4 linked regions of the Macaca fascicularis genome follow. The protein of the gene in region 1 interacts with the protein of each later gene in a pairwise test. Links are inferred from orthologs where the notes say so. Each region holds a gene or a part of one and is shown in the gene's direction. Other genes may lie near its edges.

What was found.
Region 2: the proteins of KLHL2 (region 1) and TXNDC12 interact in binary tests that used the Homo sapiens proteins (3 or more experiments, as listed by UniProt). The two-hybrid records come from large-scale screens. The link is inferred for Macaca fascicularis from reciprocal best matches to the Homo sapiens genes KLHL2 and TXNDC12.
Region 3: the proteins of KLHL2 (region 1) and BCAM interact in binary tests that used the Homo sapiens proteins (3 or more experiments, as listed by UniProt). The two-hybrid records come from large-scale screens. The link is inferred for Macaca fascicularis from reciprocal best matches to the Homo sapiens genes KLHL2 and BCAM.
Region 4: the proteins of KLHL2 (region 1) and CUL3 interact in binary tests that used the Homo sapiens proteins (3 or more experiments, as listed by UniProt). The two-hybrid records come from large-scale screens. The link is inferred for Macaca fascicularis from reciprocal best matches to the Homo sapiens genes KLHL2 and CUL3.

What each region holds. Positions count from the first base shown.
Region 1 is NC_088379.1:170,207,000-170,212,260, forward strand, and holds part of KLHL2 (kelch-like protein 2), read left to right. Parts: intron 1-3,298; coding exon 3,299-3,496; intron 3,497-3,910; coding exon 3,911-4,012; intron 4,013-5,261. UniProt on the Homo sapiens protein: Substrate-specific adapter of a BCR (BTB-CUL3-RBX1) E3 ubiquitin ligase complex that mediates the ubiquitination of target proteins, such as NPTXR, WNK1, WNK3 and WNK4, leading most often to their proteasomal degradation.
Region 2 is NC_088390.1:87,630,905-87,635,689, forward strand, and holds TXNDC12 (thioredoxin domain-containing protein 12), read left to right. Parts: upstream 1-2,138; 5' UTR 2,139-2,236; coding exon 2,237-2,755; 3' UTR 2,756-3,359; downstream 3,360-4,785. UniProt on the Homo sapiens protein: Protein-disulfide reductase of the endoplasmic reticulum that promotes disulfide bond formation in client proteins through its thiol-disulfide oxidase activity.
Region 3 is NC_088393.1:52,840,390-52,846,224, forward strand, and holds the start of BCAM (basal cell adhesion molecule), read left to right. Parts: upstream 1-2,109; 5' UTR 2,110-2,131; coding exon 2,132-2,213; intron 2,214-4,246; coding exon 4,247-4,368; intron 4,369-5,502; coding exon 5,503-5,731; intron 5,732-5,817; coding exon 5,818-5,835. UniProt on the Homo sapiens protein: Transmembrane glycoprotein that functions as both a receptor and an adhesion molecule playing a crucial role in cell adhesion, motility, migration and invasion.
Region 4 is NC_088386.1:120,532,798-120,538,703, reverse strand, and holds the start of CUL3 (cullin-3), read left to right. Parts: upstream 1-2,180; 5' UTR 2,181-2,548; coding exon 2,549-2,614; intron 2,615-5,906. UniProt on the Homo sapiens protein: Core component of multiple cullin-RING-based BCR (BTB-CUL3-RBX1) E3 ubiquitin-protein ligase complexes which mediate the ubiquitination and subsequent proteasomal degradation of target proteins.

The sequences.
Region 1 (5,261 bases):
GTAATACCAGCTACTCAGGAGGCTGAAGCAGGAGAATCGCTTGAATCCGGGAGGCGAAGGTTGCAGTGAGCTGAGACCTCACCACTGCACTCCAGCCTAGGCAACTCCGTCTCAAAAAAAAAAAACAAAAAACTTTCTGTTGCAATAATTTTACTTACAGAAGAGTTGCAAAGATAGAACAAATAATTCTGGTATATTCTTTCCCTAGTGTTAACATCTTACTGTGATACAGTTATCAAAACTAGAAATTAGCATTGGCATATTAATAGTAACTGAAATACAGACTTCGTTCGTATTTACCATTTTTTCCATTGATTCCCTTATGCTGTTCCAGGATCCTACTTTGCGTTTAGTTGTCATATCTTCTTATCTGAGATAGTCCCAGAGTCTTTTCTTATCTTTTATGCCCTTAATTCTTTGAAGAGGACTGGTCAGATATTTTGAAGAATATCTCTCAAGCTGGATTTGTCTGATATTTTCCCACGGTTAAATTGACTTAGTATGATTATTTCTTGTGACGGTAACCTTGTTCTCTTGGTTAAGGTGGTATCTGCCAGGTTTCTACCCTATGACAAAAGTATATTTTGAAAACATTTGTTGTTCTAGTACCTTTACAGTTTTATTTATAAATACATCTCTCTCTCTTAAGATATCTGGGCTGTATTTTAGTCTAAGATGTAAGGTATAGATTTTGGCTTTTAATGGCTAGTCAGTTGTCCAAATACCCCTTATTGACTTATCCGTCTCCATTCATTTGATGAAATGCTGCCTTTATCATGTATTAGATTTCCACATTTACTTGGTTGTATTCTAAATTTCCTGTTCTCTTCCATTGATTTGTCTTGCCTATTCATGCATCAAGACATAGCCACTTTTAGTTACTGTGCTTTATAATATGTTTTACTATGTTGTGAAACTAGTGATAAGACTCCTGTCTTCTTTTATATCCTTCAGTAGATTTTTAACACTTTCTTCCAATGGTCCTCCGTGTTTCTTGGCAAGTTTATTTTTAGGTATTTTATCTACTGGAAATGGAGTTTTGTATGCCATTTACTAACTGATTTCTTAATTCATATCTGATTCCTATTATAGTTCCCTTTACTTTGGGGCCATATGTCATTTGACTCAATTTATTGCAAAATGTATTATTTACTTATTGGATAACTATGAATACATTTTATCTTCATCATGCCCTCTTCCCTCTCCCTCCTTCAGATTAGAACCAATGTCCTTAACTGTGCAAACTTGGCCAAATTTTAATAAACTGTGTAATTAAACTTCTGGGCACTTCAGTTTCCTTATCATACTTCTTTTAGTTCAGTCCCTTCTCCAGACCCAGAGCTTTTGGTGGGGGGCACTTCATAGATTGATTCATTTATTTTCTTCTTCTCTGTGACCTAAAATTCCCTAAAACTTGGTAAGCATACTACATTACTTCTAAGAGATGGCATATTTGTTGTGTTATTTTGTGTGTAGAGAAAGGAAAATGAAAATTGCAATGGGCAAAATTCCCACAAGGAACATTCCCTGGAGTTATGATTTTGGGATACAGGATTGTTTTATGCTGAAACATGCTGCCTGCTATGTTGCTGCTCACTAGTCTCCAGGCCCTCTTAGGAGGTCTATTAAATTCTGTGCTAGCAGGGGGCCAAAACAGGCAACTTCATTTGAACTGGAAAGGTCTTGTTGCCATATGGAGGACTGCATTTCCATGTATTTTTAAGGGGGTGGGGGAATAAAGCACCAGAGGGTAAGACAATAAGGGATAGAGGTGCATCTCTTGCCTGATGACATCTTTAAAACATTGAGCTCGTCAAACATATCTGGTGATTCCACTTCTCCCTACAGGGATTCAGAGAACTGTGAGCCACATTGCCTGCCCTCAGGCTGGCACAGGGACATAAACATAGAACTAAGAACAATAAAAATTTGAACAATTTAAAGTAATTGTATTATAGACTCTGTACATTTATTAAACCTTAAGTGCACTATATAGATGTTATTTTCTATAGGGGTTCAGGAGCTGGACTAATCCCTTTTAGGCTAAAGTAGACCGGGAAGGCATCACAGAGAATGTGGAACTTTAACTGAGGATTCAGAGTTAAAGAGAACAGAGTGGATGGTGATAGGAGCCTGTCCGATTAGGGCAGCAGCATGAAAAAGTTGAGAAAAGTGAAAAGACGGTTGAAACCTGAGTCTAGCAGTCCAGTTTCTCCATTCACTGATTCTGTAATATCTGTTTAGCCCAGGGATCAGCAGACTTTCTCTTGAAGGACCAGAGAGTAAGTATTTTAGGCTTTGTGGTTATATGGTCTCTGTCACAGCTTCTTATCTACTGCTATAGTGCAAAACCAGCCATATGGAAGTGAATAGGTGGGACAGTGTTCCAATAAAACTATATTTATGGATGGTGAAATTTGAATTTCATATAGCTTTTTACAAGTCATGAAATATTATTCTTTTGGTTGTTTTTCAGCCATTTAAAAATATAAAAACCATGCTTAGCTTATGGGTTCTACAGAAATAGTCTGGTGGACCAGATTTAGCCTGTAGGCTGTAAATTTGCCGACCCCTGATTTAGCCCACTAACGTGATAAACTAGGAGTGCGTTATGCAAATAAATTATAAGTGTTTAGAGTTTCATTCTAAGAATATCCACTAGAAGATCCAAAATTGAAAGCTATGGGAGGTGAGTACAGGTTCAAATAGTTGGAAAATAATGGCTCATTATTTAAGCTTGTAAATTGATATTTGAAAAAGAATGAGTCAAAATGGTACTTTAGCCCATGCCATTGCATCTTTTAATAACCTTAGAAAGAAGGCTGGGCGCAGTGGCTCACGCCTGTAATCCCAGCACTTTGGGAAGCCAAGGTGAGCTGATCATGAGGTCACGAGAGCGAGACTACAGTGAAACTCCATCTCTACTAAAAATACAAAAAATTAGTCGGGCATGGTGGCGGGCACCTGTAGTCCCAGCTACTTGGGAGGCTGAGGCAGGAGAATGGCGTGAACCGGAGAGGTGGAGCTTGCAGTGAGCCGAGATCACGCCACTGCACTCCAGCCTGGGCGACAGAGTGAGACTCCGTCTTAATAATAATAATAATAATAACCTTAGACAGACAATTTAGTGATTGGATGTTCTTGCAAATGAATAGCATTTTCAAGGATTTATTTACTCAGGCTCCTCCTAAGAGTAGCATGTTCTGACAACAGCTATAGACTTACTAGAAAGCAATCTTTGGATATTGGTGATAGTCGAGTTGCACATTGATCTGTAAATGCTGTACTCCTTTTGCAGGCATGGTCTACATGGCTGGACTTGTTTTTGCTGTTGGTGGCTTTAATGGTTCATTAAGAGTTCGTACTGTAGATTCTTACGACCCTGTGAAGGACCAGTGGACCAGCGTTGCTAACATGAGAGACCGGAGAAGCACTTTGGGAGCTGCTGTGTTAAATGGATTGTTATACGCTGTGGGAGGCTTTGATGGGAGTACAGGTAATTTCCTTTTCATCTCTTCTACATTGCTGCTAAAATTAACGTAGTAGTCATGTTTATGGAATAAACCGTGGCATCATTAAGGCATATGTGAGGTTTTAACTGGTATTTAAAGATAAATTTAAAATTTTATCAAGAATTTCCTTAAATGATATGAGTGCTGAGTATATAAATTTTCTTTCTTATGCATCAGTATCAGTCATCAAGTTTTAAAAGCTTATAAATGTCAGTAGCTTAGGTGGGAGCCTTCTGGAAAACAAGCTGTTCCTGTTTTTCATGTAATTGATGTGTTTACATTCTGCCATTTTCTTCTCTTAATTTTAGCCCAATGTTACATACCTGAAGTATTTTTCCATATATATGAACTATTGACTTTTTTTAGAGAAGGAAATGAAGACTTGTGTTTTATTATAGGTCTATCATCTGTGGAAGCATACAACATAAAGTCTAATGAGTGGTTTCATGTTGCTCCCATGAACACAAGGAGGAGCAGCGTTGGTGTGGGTGTTGTTGGAGGTAGGTGCTGACAGTTCTTTCAGGTACATATGGCTTTTTGATCCTTGAGAGTGATTCTTCCAATAATCAAAACATTAGTTTTCTGAATGGGCAAGCTAATTATAATTTTAAAAAGAAAATCGTAATTACTGTAAAATTTCAATTATCCTCTTTTCAAAACTAGCTTCTCTATGTAAATCAACCTATATAAGGCCTTTTCTCTCCCTCTCCATCCCTCTCCCTTTATCCTCTTCGTGTGTGTGTGTGTGTGTGTGTGTGTGTGTGTGTGTGTGTGTGTGTGTGTGTGTGTGTGTGTTTGACTTATATAACAGCAGTCCCCAACCTTTTTGGCACTGAGGACCAGTTTTGTGGAAGACAATTTTTCCACGGACAGGGGTGGGTTGCGGGGCTGGTTTTGGGATGAAACTGTTCCACCTCAGATCATCAGGCGTTAGTGTGTCATAAGGAGCGCACAACCTAGGTTCCTCACGTGTGCATTTCAAGATAGGGTTCGCACTTCTGTGAGAATCTAATGCCTCTGCTGATCTGACAGGAAGCAGAGCTCAGCCGTAATACTCGCTCACCTGTCACTCACCGCCCGGTTCCTAACAGGTTCCAGACAGGTACTGGTCCATGGCCTGCGGTTTGGGGACTGCTGCTATGTAAGACTGTCAGCTGATTTTAATACAGTTGTTTGGGGGGAACAATTCAGGTGACATAAATGTGTAATTTTGTATCTGGAGAAGGGCTGTTTAACATTTAAGGGATGGATTGCCACAGTTATTTATTTATATCCTACTTTGTCTCCCAACAGAAGTTAAGGAAGGCTCTAAGTATTAATGTTTTGTTTTTTTTTTAATTGACTTGGGCAAATTTGCAGGTTTCCACCCCCTCCTCATCATATGTGTAATTCTCTGCACTTAGAAAAAAACAGCTTTGTTGAGATATAATCCATGTACCATACAATTCACCCATTTCGTGTATACAGTTCATTGTGCATCCATCACTACAATTCATTTTTTAAAACATTTTTATTATCCTCTAAAAGCAATCCTGCTTCGCTTAGCTCTTACTCCTCTCCTACCCAACCTTCAGCAACTGCTAGTCTGCTTTCTATCACTTAGAGATTTGCCTCTTCTGAACATTTTAGTTGTACGGTATGTGATCTTTGGTGACTCACTTCTTTCGCTTAGGGTGATGTTTTCAAGATTTGTTTATACTGAGGCATTTTTTAGTACTTCATGCCTTTTTATTGCCAAGTAATATTGCA
Region 2 (4,785 bases), on another chromosome or scaffold:
GGCTAACACGGTGAAACCCCGTCTCTACTAAAAATACAAAAAACTAGCCAGGCGAGGTGGTGGGCGCCTGTAGTGCCAGCTACTTGGGAGGCTGAGGCAGGAGAATGGCGTAAACCCGGGAGTCTGAGCTTGCAGTGAGCTGAGATCCGGCCACTGCACTCCAGCCTGGGTGACAGAGTGAGACTCCGTCTCAAAAAAAAAAAAAAAAATGAAAAGATGTGTCTGGGTGCAGTGGCTCATGCCTGTAATCCTAGCACTTTGAGAGGCCAAGGTGGGCAGATAATCTGAGGTTGGGAGTTCGAGACCAGCCTGGCCACCATGGTGAAACCTCGTCTCTACTAAAAAAAAAAAAAAAAAATACAAAAGTTAGCCGGGCATGGTGGCACACACCTGTAATCCCAGCTACTCAGGAGGCTGAGGCAGGAGAATCGCTTGAACTGGGAGGCGGAGGTTGCAGTAAGCCAAGGTTGCGCTACTGCACTCCAGTCTGGACAACAGAGCAAGACTCCATCTCAAAAAAAAAAGAAAAAGAAAATAAAAGATGTTCAGCCTCACTCACAGGAGATGGTAAGTTAGAAATACAATCAGAGGTGGAGGGCGAGGTGCTGTCCGAGTAGCCCTGGGCAGGAGTGGGGCCCGTCAGCCTAGAGGCAGAGGAGCTGTCCCGAGTAGCCCTGGGCAGGAGTGGAGCCCGTGCAGAGGGGCTGTCCCAGAGCATGGCACAGCACTGGTGGTGTTCTTCCCATGGGGTTTGGGTTATTCACTGTGACAGCACCTTACACACCTTACACACACACGGGAGCTAAACCAGGGACAGCAGACGATGGGGCCGCATCCTCACTGCTGGAGGGGAGGTTACAATCAGCAAGTGCGGGGGGGCAAGAGGCTCCACTAGAGGTAGAGACATCAGTATGACCCAGGACACCAATGGTTACTATGTATAGACAGTGTGTAGATTACACACCCGCTGACATACACTACACGCTTCCTTGCTCTGTTGGCTGAGAAGACCAGAAACAGCCCAGTAGTGACGAGCACACCCGGCTCCCAGACCTTGGCCTTCTAAGACCACTCTCCAAGAAAAAGAACCGGGGCTTCTTGCAGAAATGGCTGATTCTAGGACTGGACAAGGAAAGAGACAAGATGAGGCTGGAGCAGTTTATAGGGCCAGAAATAAGGACGTGCTCACAAGACAAAGTGATGGGCAATGACACAGGGATGCAAGAGCCACCTGAAGTTCCCAGTGGCCAAAGCTGCGACAATGAGAGCAACAAAATAAGCCAACTAGTATTGAATAATAACTCGAAGTGTAAATAAATATCCATGAGTCCACTATAATAAATGATTGAAAAAATTAATAAGTGGGGCCAGGTGCGGTGGCTCACAACTGTAATCCCAGCACTTTGGGAGGCTGAGGCAGGCAGATCACTTGAGGTCAGGAGTTTGAGACCAGCCTGGACAACATGGTGAAACCCCCATCTCTACTAAAATACAAAAATTAGCCAGGTGTGGTGGCGTGCACCTGTAGTCCCAGGTACTCAGGAGGCTGAGACAGGAAAATCGCTTGAACCCAGGAGGCAGAGTTTGCAGTGAGCCGAGATTATGCCACTGCACTCCAGCCTGGGCAACAGAGTGAGATGTTGTCTCAAATAAAAAAAAAAAAAAATTACAAATGAGGGTGAACAGACAAATCTCCTGTGTAGAAGAATTCCAAATAACTTGTATAGATGCTCGTCTCTAAAGGAGGGCGAGCGAAACTCCCCACCCCTTCCGTGTGGGCTCAGCAAAGCGACTTCCTGCCAGAGAACACAGGGGACGGGCCACTTCACAGGGAAGCCTGACCCTCCACCTCGGCCAGGGGACCAAGGCCAGCAGCACCACCAGTGAGAGGTCACAGGGACAATGTGGACCGCAGACAGGATGGGGTGAGAAGAGCACTTTACCTCTGTGGTCTTCCTCCTAAAACCACCCCACGGTCTGATCACGAGAAAAGTATCAGGCAAGTCCAACAGGGGCCATTCTGTAAAATCCCTGACCAGCTCTCCCCAAAACTCGAAGGTCATTAAAAACAAGGAGAGTCTGAGAAACTCACAGCCCAAACGAGCCTGAGACCCACAGCCTAAAAATCATGTGGGATCGGGGTTGTGCTGAGCCGCGCTCGGGGAACGGTGTGGACCGTCTGCTGGGACTCCGGCCCTCCGTCCGCTCAGCCCCGTGGCCCCGCGCACCTACTGCCATGGATTCGCGGCCTCGTCTCGGGGCCACCTGTTTGCTGGGCTTCAGTTTCCTGCTCCTCGTCATCTCCTCTGATGGACATAATGGGCTTGGAAAGGGTTTTGGAGATCATATTCATTGGAGGACACTGGAAGATGGGAAGAAAGAAGCAGCTGCCAGTGGACTGCCCCTGATGGTGATTATTCATAAATCCTGGTGTGGAGCTTGCAAAGCTCTAAAGCCCAAATTTGCAGAATCTACAGAAATTTCAGAACTCTCCCATAATTTTGTTATGGTAAATCTTGAGGATGAAGAGGAACCCAAAGATGAAGATTTCAGCCCAGACGGGGGTTATATTCCACGAATCCTTTTTCTGGATCCCAGTGGCAAGGTGCATCCTGAAATCATCAATGAGAATGGAAACCCCAGCTACAAGTATTTCTACATCAGTGCCGAGCAAGTTGTTCAGGGGATGAAGGAAGCTCAGGAAAGGCTGACGGGTGATGCCTTCAGAAGGAAACATCTTGAAGATAAATTGTAACATGAATGTGCCCCTTCTTTCATCAGAGTTAGTGTTCTGGAAGGAATGCAGCAGGGGAGGGAATATTGAGGAATCATCTAGAACAATTAAGCCGACCAGGAAACCTCATTCCTGCCTACACTGGAAGGAGTGCTCTCACTGTGGAAGAGTTCTGCTAACACAAGCTGGTCTGCATGTTTGTGGATCCAGCAGAGAGCGGCAGACTTTCTTCTCTTTTTCCCTCTCACCTAAATGTCAATTTGTCATTGAATGTAAAAAATGAAACCTTCTGACACAAAACTTGAGCCACTTGGAGGTTTACTCCTCGCACTTAAGTATTTGAGTCTTTTCCCATTTCCTCCCACTTTACTCACCTTAGTGGTAAAAGAAGACTAGTAGCATCTTTTCTACAATGTTAAAATTGCAGAAATAGCTTATCATTAAACAACAACAACAACAACAACAACAAATTCTAAGTGTAAATCACTAATTCTACCCCCTATCAAGGGGGTAGCCTGCTTTTTCCCTTTTTCCTTCTGGGAATAATTGTGGGCTGCTTCGCAAATTTCTTTTTTTTGTTTTGTTTTGTTTTGTTTTGTTTTTTGAGACGGAGTCTCGCTCTGTCGCCCAGGCTGGAGTGCAGTGGCGCGATCTCGGCTCACTGCAAGCTCCGCCTCCTGGGTTTACGCCATTCTCTTGCCTCAGCCTCCTGAGTAGCTGGGACTACAGGCGCCCGCCACCGCGCCCGGCTAATTTTTTGTATTTTTAGTAGAGACAGGGTTTCACTGTGGTCTCGATCTCCTGACCTTGTGATCCGCCTGCCTCGGCCTCCCAAAGTGCTGGGATTACAGGCGTGAGCCACCGCGCCCGGCCTGCTTCGCAAATTTCTACAACCCCTTTCCTTTTCTCACGCTTGGGTTTCTCTGTTTGCACATATGCGTGTGCAGGACTGGCTGTGTGCTTGGACTCTGCTCCAGGTGGAAGCATGTTTTCCCTTGTTACTGTTGGAGAAACTCAAACCTTCAAGCCCTACGTGTAGCCATTTTGTCAAGTCATCAACTGTATTTTTGTACTGGCATTAACAAAAAAAGAGATAAAATATTGTTCCATTAAACTTTAATAAAACTTTAAAAGGAAAAAAAAAAAATCATGTGGGATCCTGGGACAGAAAAGGACAACGGGTAAAAACTGCAAAAATACAAGTAAAGTGTGGACTTTAGTCAGTGATTTATCAATAATGACTTGTCGGCCGGGCGCGGTGGCTCAAGCCTGTAATCCCAGCACTTTGGGAGGCCGAGATGGGTGGATCACGAGGTCGGGAGATCGAGACCATCCTGGCTAACACGGTGAAACCCCGTCTCTACTAAAAAAATACAAAAAACTAGCCAGGCGAGGTGGTGGGCACCTGTAGTCCCAGCTACTCGGGAGGCTGAGGCAGGAAAATGGTGTGAACCCGGGAGGCGGAGCTTGCAGTGAGCCAAGATCGCACCACTGCACTCCAGCCTGGGCGACAGAGCGAGACTCCGTCTCAAAAAAAAAAAAAAAAAATGACTTGTCAATTGTACACATGTCCCATCATAATGTAAGATATTCAAATAGCGGAGACTGGGTGGGGTATAGGGGAACACCCTGCACTTTCCAAGTTTTCTATACATTTAAAATTATACTAACATAAAAGCTTTATTTTTAAAAATTGCAGTCACGCCAGTGGCTCACGCCTGTAATCCCAGCACTTTGGGAGGCCGAGGCGGGCGGATCACTTGAGGTCAGGAGTTTGAGACCAGCCTGGCCAACATAATGAAATCCTGTCTCTACTAAAAATACAAAAATTAGCTGGGCATGGTGGTGCACACCTGTAATCCCAGCTACTCTGGGGACTGAAGCAGGAGAATTGCTTGAATCCGGGAGACGGAGATTGCTGTGAGCCGAGATCGCACCATTGCACTCCAGCCTGGGGTACAAGAGTGAAACTTCATCTCAAAAAAGAAAAAGAAAAAAACAAAATAAAAAGTAAAAAGTAAAAAACTAAAAAGTAGTACAGTCAGATATCT
Region 3 (5,835 bases), on another chromosome or scaffold:
CTGGGATTACAGGCGTGAGCCACTGTGCCCAACCTCAGCTGTCTGGGTTCTTGAGGGAGGTGGAAGAGGTGGATGGCTGCTGAGAGGGCATGTACCAGGGTCCTACCCAAACAGAAGGTGCACAGGCCAGGGACAGAAGAGCTAAGGAGTGTGTGTCGGTGCTCACAGTGTGTGAGCTTGACAGCAGCCGGGACTGTCTTGGAGTGCTGCCACATTCCCCATGAGTGAGTTTGTATTGTGCATCCTGGGATGCTCCGGTGTGGGTGGAATCTGCACGTGAGCTTGTGTGCCTTGCAAACCTTCCCTGAGCACCTGCACTGTGTCTGGTCTTGTGCTGGGTGGGGTACCCAGGGCAGGGGCCCTTAGCTCACCACAGTGATCAAGACATCCCTGGTCCTGCCCTGCACTCACAGGCTCACAGTCCCCAGCCAGGGACCCTCAGAGCATGCAGGGCTGAGGCTGGGGAGCCCAGAGGGGGAATCTGACCCAGCCAGGGAAGGCAGAGGGGACTTCCTGGAGGAGGGGATGGTACAGGTAATCCTAAAGGTAATCTTTTCCGATGTAACAGTTGCTCCCTAGGATGGACGCAGTGGCTCATGCCTGTAATCCCAGCACTTTAGAAGGCGGGAGGATCACTTGAGCCCAAGAGTTGGAGACCAGCCTTGGCAACATAGTAATACCCTGTTTCTATTACAAAAAAAAAAAAAAAAAAAAATACAAAAATTAGCTGGACATCGTAGCACAAGCCTGTAGTCCCAGCTACTTGGGAGGCTGAAGTGGAAGGATCACTTGAGCCAAGGCGGTCGAGGTATCAGTGAGCTATGATTGCGCCACTGCACTCCAGCCTGGGTGACAGAGCGAGACCCTCTTAAAAAAAAAAACAAAAAAACAAAACAAAAAAAAACCACGTTGCTCTCCTGTGTGACCAATACATAAAGTAACCTTGACCAATCTAATAACTCCCAGGCTGACCTGTAATCCAAGCCTTCTCTGTGTATTGGAGCAGGCAAAGCCCAGATCCAGGGCTACCCCAACCCCCAGGCTGATGAGAAGCCTGGGGAACCTCTCCCAGTGTGGCCAGTGACCCCCCACCCTCCCACGTTCTGACCACTGTCCCGGGCAACTAGTGACATCTAGTGGGGGGTTTTGTCCCAGTCTGACCTGGCCTGTAGGGGCCTTGGGCGGTCGGACCTGGGACCCACCCTTCCTAGCAGTGGCTGGACTCCTCCCCCTTCCCGCAGGTGCCCTGGCTTCTTCCCCTGGCCTCCTCACCTGCTCCGGCCAGCCTGACTCCTCCCCTCCCCACAAGGTTGGGAGGGAATGAAGGAGAGAGCGGGAAGGAGGAAGGGAGGGTGGCATTCCTGGGATTCCCTGGACAGGGGGAAGAGTGGGAGGGCCTTCCACGGGTAAGCAAGCGAGAGGGCACCCCATACCCCACCCCCAGCCCCATTATCAAAGCGGTCTAGGAGGAACTGGATTTGAAGACCATTGAAGATAAAAGATTAAACTGGTTGATTCCAGGCTACTGGTTAGACGAGGAACCAGAGCACTGACCACAGGGGAAAACGTCTCCGGGCATACTGGGAACAGCTGCTGGGGGCCACTGGTCAGGCTGCGGGGGTCACTGGTTGGACTGGGAGAGGCCAGTGCAGGCCACTCAGACGGCACACTTGGGGCCATTAGTTACACTGGGAGAGGCCATCGCAGGCCACCGGTTGCAGTGGCGTCGGCTGGTTAAAATCGACAATGCCAGCCTAGGCTGCTGGTCACAGTGGGGACGAGTCCCCAGGGCCCCTGGTCAGAATAACGGGGAGAGGGTCCGCGATTGCCTGGTGAGATCCCAGCTCGGGTCACCGGCTACACTGGTCCATCAGGCCTCCCCGCTGCGGGCGCTGGTCAGTAAGCCTGGACAGTCCTGGGCTTGGGGGCGGAGGAGCCCCGAGCCTGGCCCCGTGCACTGGGAGGTCCCCTCCGGGCAGTGGGAGGTCCTGGCCCCGCGCCCGGACTTGGTGGGGACGAGGGGGGCCTGGAGGGCGGGGCGGGGCGGGGCTGCCGGGGGCGGGGCCTCTAGCTCCCAGCCCCGCTGCGGCCGAGCTGCAGCCGGGGCTCAGTCGCCGCCGCCGCCGTGAACATGGAGCCCCCGGACGCACCGGCCCGGACGCGCGGGGCCCCGCGGCTGCTGTTGCTCGCAGTCCTGCTGGCTGCGCACCCAGGTATGGCTCGGGCTGAGGGCAAGGTGGGACTCGGGGGAGGCCCCTGGGGACCCCGGGAAAGCAAAGAGAAAGGGCTTTACCCTGACCCCAGGAAGCAAAATGTGGGGACCCCAAGAAGGAGGAATATGGGAGTGTTGGAAGGTACACCTTCCAGTGAGAGATCTGGGGACAGCCAGGCAAGAGAGCTGGGGATACCCAGGCGGTGGATCAGAGACAACTAGAGAAGTCAGCCCCCTTTCCACTCAGCACCCTGGAATCTGCGTCCCACCTGCCTCCTTCCTCAGACCCTGGAATTTGGGCCCCCAGCCCTCTTTCCTCAGAGCCAGGAGTCCAGGCCTCCAGTGGCTAGAATGGCTTCCCCCAGGGCACAGAGGATCAAAACCCCAGGGCTTCCTCCCTCAAAGGTTCTCAAGTTTTAAGAGGTCCAGGGACCCCTTAGAGAAGCGAGGACCATGTTTCCCCACACCAGCGATCCGTACATATTTAGGAGTTTCCAGAGTCCAGTATAAAGAACCCGCCTCCCTCAGGAAAGGGCTGGAGCACCAGCCCTGGGCAGTGACAGTGGAACAAAGTGTTTCCAAGTGACAGGCCCCCTTCCTGGGGCCTCAGCTACATTTACACACCTGCATGGGCATGGCGATAGAAGGAGAGGAGGCCCTGGGTGGGGGGCTGGGGACAGAGGGACAGAGAGATGTGAGAGAGATTGGGGATGAGAGAGGACCTCTCTGCCTCCACTTGCTGTCTGCAGCTCAGACCCAGCCTTAGGCACCAGCCTGGCCCCCATCACCCCTCCCTGGGGACAAGCTGGGGCCAGAGGTGAGTGCCTGGGAATCCAGGCCCCTGGCACACTCATGGTCAGTAGTGGGTCCCCAGGGGCGGGGCTGGGCCAGATTGAGCGGAGAAGGGAAGGGAGTATCTAAGAAGCACTGAGAGCTGATGCCAGGATGCCAGACCAGAGGGTGAGGGAGGGTGGTGGTTTTTCTACAAGAACTACTCCACCCAGGCCCCAGCCTCCTCTTCCCTCTGATCCCAGGAGTCCAGGCACTCAGCTTCCCAAGATCCTGGGCCTCAACCTTATCCTGTTGCACGATGACTCACCTTATATCCCGTTTGCTGTTGTATCAAACGGAGAGGGGGGCCAAGAGGCGGTTGGGGGCTCTGGCTCCAGGCCGGGCAGGTCTCAGCCAGCCTGTCCCTCCCACATTCCTGAAACCTGCCCAGCCCTGTCCCCCCTCACCACCCCCACACACCTATCCCGCCTAAGCTCCGGGCCCAGCCGCAGCCCACACCCCAGCCCCTCACTCATGGGAAAGAGGAAGAGACCCAGGGACTGAACGGTGCAGGTGCAGAGAGAGAGGCAGAGACAGGGACAGAGATGAAGACCCAAGAGGAGAGACACACGCAGAGGTGGAGACAGGGATGGAGAGAGACATTTATCCATCATCATGGAGGTGGCCCTGCCCAGGGTGCTGGAGGCAAATGACTGAGCCAGGCCTGGCCCTGCCCTGGGGGGTGGCATGTGCTCTGTTGGGAGAAGCAAGGGCCGGTGCAATATTACCCCAGGGCCCTGTGCAGCCCAGAGGAGGAGCCCTGAGCTCTGCAAGTGCAGGGAGGGTTGGATTTGAGACCCAGAGATGCAGGGAGAAGGGATGGAGGGCGAAAGGATCTCAGGGAGGAGGGGCTGGGGGCCTGGACTCCTGGGTCTGAGGGAGGAGGGGCTGGGGGCCTGGACTCCTGGATCTGAGGGAGGAGGAGCTGGGGGACTGGACTCCTGGGTCTGAGGGAGGAGGGGACAGGGGCCCAGACTCCTGGATCTGAGGAAGGAGCTGGAACCTGGACTCCTGGGTCTGAGGGAGGAGGAGACAGGGGCCCAGACTCCTGGATCTGAGGAAGGAGGAGCTGGAACCTGGACTCCTGGGTCTGAGGGAGGAGGGGCTGGGACCTGAACGCTTGGGTCCTGGGGGAGACAGGACCCTGTCTGGAGGGCTCTTCCTGTTGGTGTGGTGGACAATAGCTCAGATGCCCTCTTGCAGATGCCCAGGCGGAGGTGCGCTTGTCTGTGCCACCGCTGGTGGAGGTGATGCGAGGAAAGTCTGTCATTCTGAACTGCACCCCTACGGGAGCCCATGACCATTATGTGCTGGAATGGTTCCTTGTGAGTGCTTGGGGCTGGGGGGCCTGGAGTCAGGGCACAGCAGGGCAGCAAATGTTCATTCTCTCATCAGTGCCTAAGGTCTGTAGAGATCCACCAAGCCACACCCCTTGTTACAGATGGGGTCACTGAGTCCCACTGAGGAGAAGGGATTTGCAAGGTGCCCCATGTCTGGGCACAGCTGAGTCTAGAATGACGTTGACCTGCTCTGGACTGTGGGCTCTTGAGAGAGAGAACAGAGACAGACACCAAGAAAGCAGGAGAGGCTGGGTGCGGTGGCTCATGCCCGTAATCCCAGCACTTTAGGAGGCCCAGGCGGGTGGATCACCTGAGGTCAGGAGTTCGAGACCAGCTTGGCCAACATGGCGAAACCCCGTCTCTACAAAAATACAATAAAAAATACGGTAGTCCCAGCTACCCAGGAGGCTGAGGTAGGAGAATCGCTTGAACTTGGGAAGCGGAGGTTGCAGTGAGCCAAGATCGTGCCACTGCACTCCACCCTGGGGAAAAAGAGCGAAACTCCATCTCAAAAAGAAAAAGAAAAAAAGAAAGCAGGAGACTCGAGGGGTCAGGGAGGACTAACGAGGAGAGAAGGCTAGGCGCAGTGGCTCACACTTGTAATCCCAGCACTTTGGGAGGCCTTGGTGGGTGGATCACAAGGTCAAGAGATCAAGACCGTCCTGACTAACATGGTGAAACCCTGTCTCTACTAAAAATACAAAAATTAGCCGGGCGTGGTGGTGCGTGCCTGTAGTCCCAGCTACTCGGGAGGCTGAGGCAGGAGAATCGTTTGAACCTGGGAGGCGGAGGTTGCAGTGAACCGAGATCAAGCCACTGCACTCCAGCCAGGTGACTTGTCTCTCTCTGCTTGAGAGACAAGCAGAGAGGGAGAGATGGGGAGGAAGAGGGATGGAACTGGAATGAGATGGAGAAAAGGAGACAGGAAAAATCAAGAACTGATAGGGAATGGGGGCAGAAGGTGGAGAGGGACAGAGGGACAGAGGGACCAGGGAAACCCATAACAAGAGGAAAAGAGGCAGAGCCAGGAGCTGCAGAGAGAAAGGGCCCAGAGAGAGAGAGAGAGAGACTGAGGAGCGCTGGGACACCAGGAGCTGAGAGACTCCCGTGTGCCCGCAGACCGACCGCTCGGGAGCTCGCCCCCGCCTGGCCTCCGCCGAGATGCAGGGCTCTGAGCTCCAGGTCACAATGCACGACACCCGGGGCCGCAGTCCCCCATACCAGCTGGACTCCCAGGGGAGCCTGGTACTGGCTGAAGCCCAGGTGGGCGACGAGCGAGACTACGTGTGCGTGGTGAGGGCAGGGGCGGCAGGCACTGCTGAGGCCACTGCACGGCTCAACGTGTTTGGTAAGTGTCCACAGACATCCCCCGAAGGGAGGCAGGCAGGGAGGGGCACAGGGCAGGGGCTTTTGACGTGAACATCTTTTTCACAGCAAAGCCAGAGGCCACTG
Region 4 (5,906 bases), on another chromosome or scaffold:
CTTATCAGAAAATATTTTATTAGTCTGAGAGATCCAAATGTCGGCGACTGGCTTAGTTTCCAAATATGACTCATTTTATAAAAGCATACAAGTGCTTTTGTTGTTGTTGTTTTTTAGAAACCTATCTATTGAATAAAGGAAGTAGTATAACCTTGGCTTTAATGCCCATGTTAATGACAGCCAACAGGTGGTAAGTTGCTGCTCCATGCCTAGCTCTCAGGGCTTTTCAAAACATATTCATCCATTTAAATTTCACAGTAGCCCAAGGAGGAAGTATTGTTATTGTCTCCGTTTCACAGATGAGGAATTCTAGGGATTGTCAACTCCATGCCCCAAAGGATGCACAACACAGCTAGCAAAGTGGCAGAATTGAGATTCAAACAATGGCTCCAAGAACATATATTCTTTTTTAAAATGTATTTTTTTGGTTTCTTTTTTTGATTCCTCAGAGATCCCTACTCTGAACATATATTCTTACATTACTAAGAAACTGGGTCATATGAGAGTACAACCAAGAGAAAAACATTGTTATTATATTATAATGTTATGGAAATGGAGGTTCAATTAGCATAGAGATTATAAACTCCTCTTCAAGACTGACATTATCTTACACTGAAGTCAGAGCCTCTCCCAATGTTAGTTTATCAACTCAATTCTTGATAACCTATTTTTAGCTTCAGTATTTGCAGATACTGTCTTAAGCAACATTGTTGCTTAAGCTCCTGCTTTAATTAGCCAATTCCAAAAATCTCCCACAAAAAAAACCCCAAGAAAATACGGTATTTGCAATGGAGTGTTTCAACCAAGAAGGGGCTTTAAGCGCAACACTCAAAAGCTTAGACATCAGGATTAAGTTAATTTAGGGCAAATTCAACCTTATAGTCAACAAATAAGTGTATTTCACTTTATATTAAGTTTGTTATGTAAAAGTATTAAAATACCAGCTTCTAAATGTAGCTATCCATCCCCCAAACAGATGCTTCTTTAAAATAGGAAGAACACAAACTTTAGTTGGAACTCACATATTCCCTTGCAGAGTCAGAAACCCAAACATAACAGCAATTGGGCAAGTAGGTAAATGAGGAAGTACAATTCATAATAAATGGACAGCAAAACCGATGAGTCAAATTAGACATTTTGACTATAAAGCGACCAAACGCCTCTCCCCAAAAACCAAAAGCCAAAACCTTTTCAAATATACAGCAACTGAATCAGACGGTAATTTTGGCTTTAAAAATCTACAATACTCTTGGTAATGCTAGAAATGATTTATCTGGTAGGTTAAAGTTAGGTATCTATCATTCCACTTAACATCATTTACCAAATGCTGCATTTCATTAATGGAGCTGTCAGTTTATTCTGATGGTAATGAAAAACAGGTTTTAACATTAATAAGCCCTGGGTCCACCAGAAAATAACAGTGAATCAAGAGGTCCTGAGGTTTATGCAGTTTAAGGTAACTCTGTAGATTAAATTTCCACCCTCCAGTCCTGAGAGCTGTGGTGTACACCCTCAGTCCGAATACCTTGTTGAGCATACAGGACAGTCATTTCCGACACTGCAGGTATCTCCTGCACAGACTCTTCATTCAAGTTGCTGGCTTCTGCTCAAGTACCCATCCCTAGCCCACATGCCCTAGAAAAACACAGGAACCAGTTCGGGACGTAGTTATGCATCCAGCACCCCACGCTACTCCCCAAGACTATCCTCCTGCCATCCCAGCTCAGTGGGGCCCAGCCCACTACAATCCAGCTCCCGCTCTCCGAACTTCCCCCGCCCACTCTCCCCACGTGACCAGGACCCTCCCAACCGCCGCCTCGAGTTCCACCAATCAGCAACCACCTCCGCCCAGAATCCGGGACCTGGCGCTCCTCTTTCAAAAAGGCAGCTTAATCCTCCCGCCCTCAGCCACGCCCCCTTTCCGCTTCCCCGCCCCGCCGGTCCCTCCCACTTCCCTCAATTCCCTGTTCCCCTCCTCCCCTCCGGTGGCGCCCTCCCGCTCCCGGGCTTCGCCCCGCCCCACCAGGGCAGCGCGCTCGCTCTCTTCTCGCGAGATCTGAGCGTCCCCGCCGCGGCCGCCGGGCTCCCCCTCCCGTCCTCCCACCTCCCTCCCCCGGCATCTCTCACTCTCCGGCTCTCCTCCCTCCCTCCTCCCCCCTCCACCCTCTGGGCCGGATCTCGTCTCGCTCAGGCGGAGGAGGAGAAGGAGGAGGAGGAGGACGACGTTCGGCCTGCGCAGTGAGATGTTTGTCCGTCGCCGCCGCCGCCGCCATCGCGGAGGAGCGCGATAAAGGGAGCAGAGCCGGGCGTGAGGGGGACCCTGCGGAGCCACCGCGCCAGCGCAGCCCCCCAGCCGCGTCGGAGCAGCCGGAGCCCGAGCCGCCGCCCCCGCCGCCGCCGCGGCTGCCCAGGGGCCGGCCAGCTCCCCAGCCCTGCCCGGGGGCCGCGCCGCCCCCAGCGTCGCCCCTCGCCTGCCTGCCCGCCTTAAATGTGACACCGGCGTCGCGGAGCGCGACCTGAAGCCGCCGCCGGGGAGGGGACGAGCACCATGTCGAATCTGAGCAAAGGCACGGGCAGCCGGAAGGACACCAAGATGCGGATCCGGGCCTTTCCGGTGAGTCTCTCCTCGGCGTCCGGGACCCCGGGGCCGGGGGCCGGGCCGAGAGCCGCACGCGAGGCCCGGGCTGAAGTCCCCCAACAGGCCGCAGGCCCGGCCTCCCCTCCCCCACGCTCGCCGGCCGCGGGGCGCGAGCCTTCCCGGCAACCGGGCGGCGCGGGGCCCCGGCGCGGCCGCCCTCCCGGGCCGTTCCCCGCGCCGGGAGTCCGGGCCTGGCGCCGCGCCCCCGTCCGGGAGTTGCTTCTTGAGCCGCTCCACGGGCGTCGGCTGCGGCCGGGGCCCCTCGGCCGCCCCACGCCTCCCCACGTTGCTGGGGTTGTAGGCCCAGGCTCCGGCGCTGTTAGCAGCGGCGAAGTCCTCCCTGTGTGGGGCGTGTGTGGAACTTTTCACGTGGGGTTTCGTTACACTTTCAAAAATTACCCAGTCTAGCTTGTAGGGTGATGAAGGGGCTGCCCTCTCACTCTGCCCCCCTCCCCAGGCGGGGCTGTGCCATCAACCTGCCCCCGAAGCAGTGACAGTGGTTCCACGGAATGCTCAGTGGTCATAAACTAGTAACATTGGGTGTATTTCTAGCGTCTTTCATCCTACAAGCCTCCTAAACACTTTACAAACTGTTGTGCAGGATTGCCTCGCCACTCGGAGGAAGGCCGGGTGGGAGGAAGCAACAGAGATCAAACCGGACAATTGGTTCTCCATTTCTCAGCCTTGGGAGCCCAAAGAATGAGTGTAGTCGCCTTGCAGAGTTGCTTTCTTTCATCACTTTCAGTGACAGCAAACGTGTTGTGTTCAGAAACCTTTTCTTTTTTGGCATTACGTTGTGTCGTAGCCTTGTGGTGTTTAGCATATAGGGTATAACTTTGGGTGTCATATCTGGTTCGTCCACACTATGGCAAGCAATTAAAATGTATTGTTGTTAACAAACTGGACATACTTGCCTATGTCGCTACAATAAAAGGCGTACGTCAAGACAGACGAACTAGCAATCGGACAGAAGATTTTAAAAAACAAAATTAGAGAAAGATCTTGGTCTTCCCTTCTTAGATTCATAAATACTTCGTATGATGTGCAGGCGAAAGAGGGAAGTTTGTTGTCACTTTTTAAAGAGAGCTTTTCCTGAAGTGCAGTTGCCTGAGAAAATACTTATATTAATATGATTGCCCCAGTTGAGTCAAGTAATTTAGTCTCAGAGAACATGAGGACCTCTCTGAATTCCTAAAATTTAAAAGGATACAGCTCATGCAGAATTCTGAAATTGCAAGAACATAAATACTAAAATCAGTGTGCGAAAACCTCTGCTTTGTGTAAATAGGTACGGTGTATTTAGGAGAATTAAGTGTTTTGATAATAATTAAAGATTTTTGGAATGTTTCGAACTTTTTTCTAAGTAAACATGAGAAATGTTGACAATAGAGTACTAACGAAGCTTACTAGTATGTTTTCCCTTATGATTGGGCACAGAGCTGGGTTATGAATTTGTGATTAATATTAATTTTCCTACTAAATTCTGATCACTTTAGAGTTTAGAACTACTTAGAATTTTATGAAGTTAATAGTTTTATACGACAGGTTTTCTTTTTCTTTTCTTTTTTTTTTTTTTTTTTTGAGACAGTTTCGCTCTTGTTGCCCAGGCTGGAGTGCAATGGCGCGATCTCAGCTCCCAGCAACCTCCGCCTCCTGGGTTAAAGCGGTTCTCCTGCCTCAGCCTCTGAGTAGCTGGGATTACAGGCAGGCGCCACTATACCCGGCTAATTTCGTATTTTTAGTAGAGACGAGGGTTCTCCCTATTGGTCAGGCTGGTCTCGAACTCCCGACCTCAGATGATCCACCCACCTCGGCCTCCCAAAGTGCTGGGATTACAGGCGTGAGCCACCGCGCCCGGCCTATACAACAGATTTTCTAGGAGTGTTTGCGGCCTTACACTACTCAATTCTTGAAGTCTTACGTTCTGAATAAGATTTTTTGCTAAAATGTGGAGGAACTCAAATTTGACATCAACTCACTCAAGTGAATGGCGTTCTGATTGACCAGCTGTACGTTCATCTATGTGTAATCAAACTCTGACCACTTCAGGTTTCCCTGCTCTTGCCTGTTTTGCCATCATTTAATTTGTTCAGTAAATATTGAATGTTATGTGCCAGGCACTGTTCTGGGTGTCTGTCAGGATAGCTAGAAAGACCGAGATCCCTGCCTTCTGGAGCTAATATTGTTGGGGAGAAGAGGTGGGAGAGAATTTCATTATTCCTTTAGCTGACTAGTATAATAACGTTGTGTGATACGTTACCACATAATACTGGAACTTAATTTTTTTTTTAGCTTCGTTATGATTATGAGCTAATTTGGACCCATTCTGTCTATGACTTTGCAGGTTTTTCTGAAAACCTTACAGAAGTAAGTGACTAGTTTTGATATTCAGTAGTTAATAGCTGCTGATTTCTAAAAGAATTTTTCATTACTGTTTAATAAGTATTAATAACATTCATAAGTAGTTCCCATTGAAAAGAACTATTATAGTTTATGACCCTTTGTTACAAATATATATATATCTCAGTGGTAGGGTATTTCATAGTTTTATCTTGTTAACCGTGTGCTTATGGACCTTCAGAATTCCTGTCTTCCAGATTAGCAGTCTTGTGCATAACTACAGACTGCATGAGTTGCTGGTCAAAAGTAGTTAATGCATAGTATGCCATAAGGAAAAAATATGGCTGGGTGCAGTGGCTCACGCCTGTGATCCCAGCACTTTGGGAGGCGGAGGCAGGTGGATCACCTGAGGTCAGGAGCTTGAGACCAGCCTGGCTGACATGATGAAATCCCATCTCTACTTAAAATACAAAAAAATCACGGGGTGTGGTGGTGGATGCCTAGTAATCCCAGCTACTTGGGAGGCTGAGGCTGGAAAATCGCTTGAACCTGTGAGGCCGAGGGTGCAGTGATCTGAGATAGCGCCATTGCGCTCCAGCCTGGGCAACAAAAGCAAAACTGTCTCAAAAAAAAAAATTGTTTATGGTTATACATATGTACATCCTTAATTGTTTATGGATCCACATATGTACGTATTTTAAAATAACTGTATTTTACATCTGTTGTTTGGATATATAGTTACTATAATTTAAGGGAAACTATAGTTTCACCAAAAGTCTTAAGCACTCGGCTGGAGAAGGTGGTTCACACCTTCACACCTGTAATCCTAGCACTTTGGGAGAGGCAAGCCGGGTAGATCACCTGAGGTTAAGAGTTGGAGACCAGCCTTGCCAACATGCAAACCCCTGTCTCTACTAAAAATACAAAA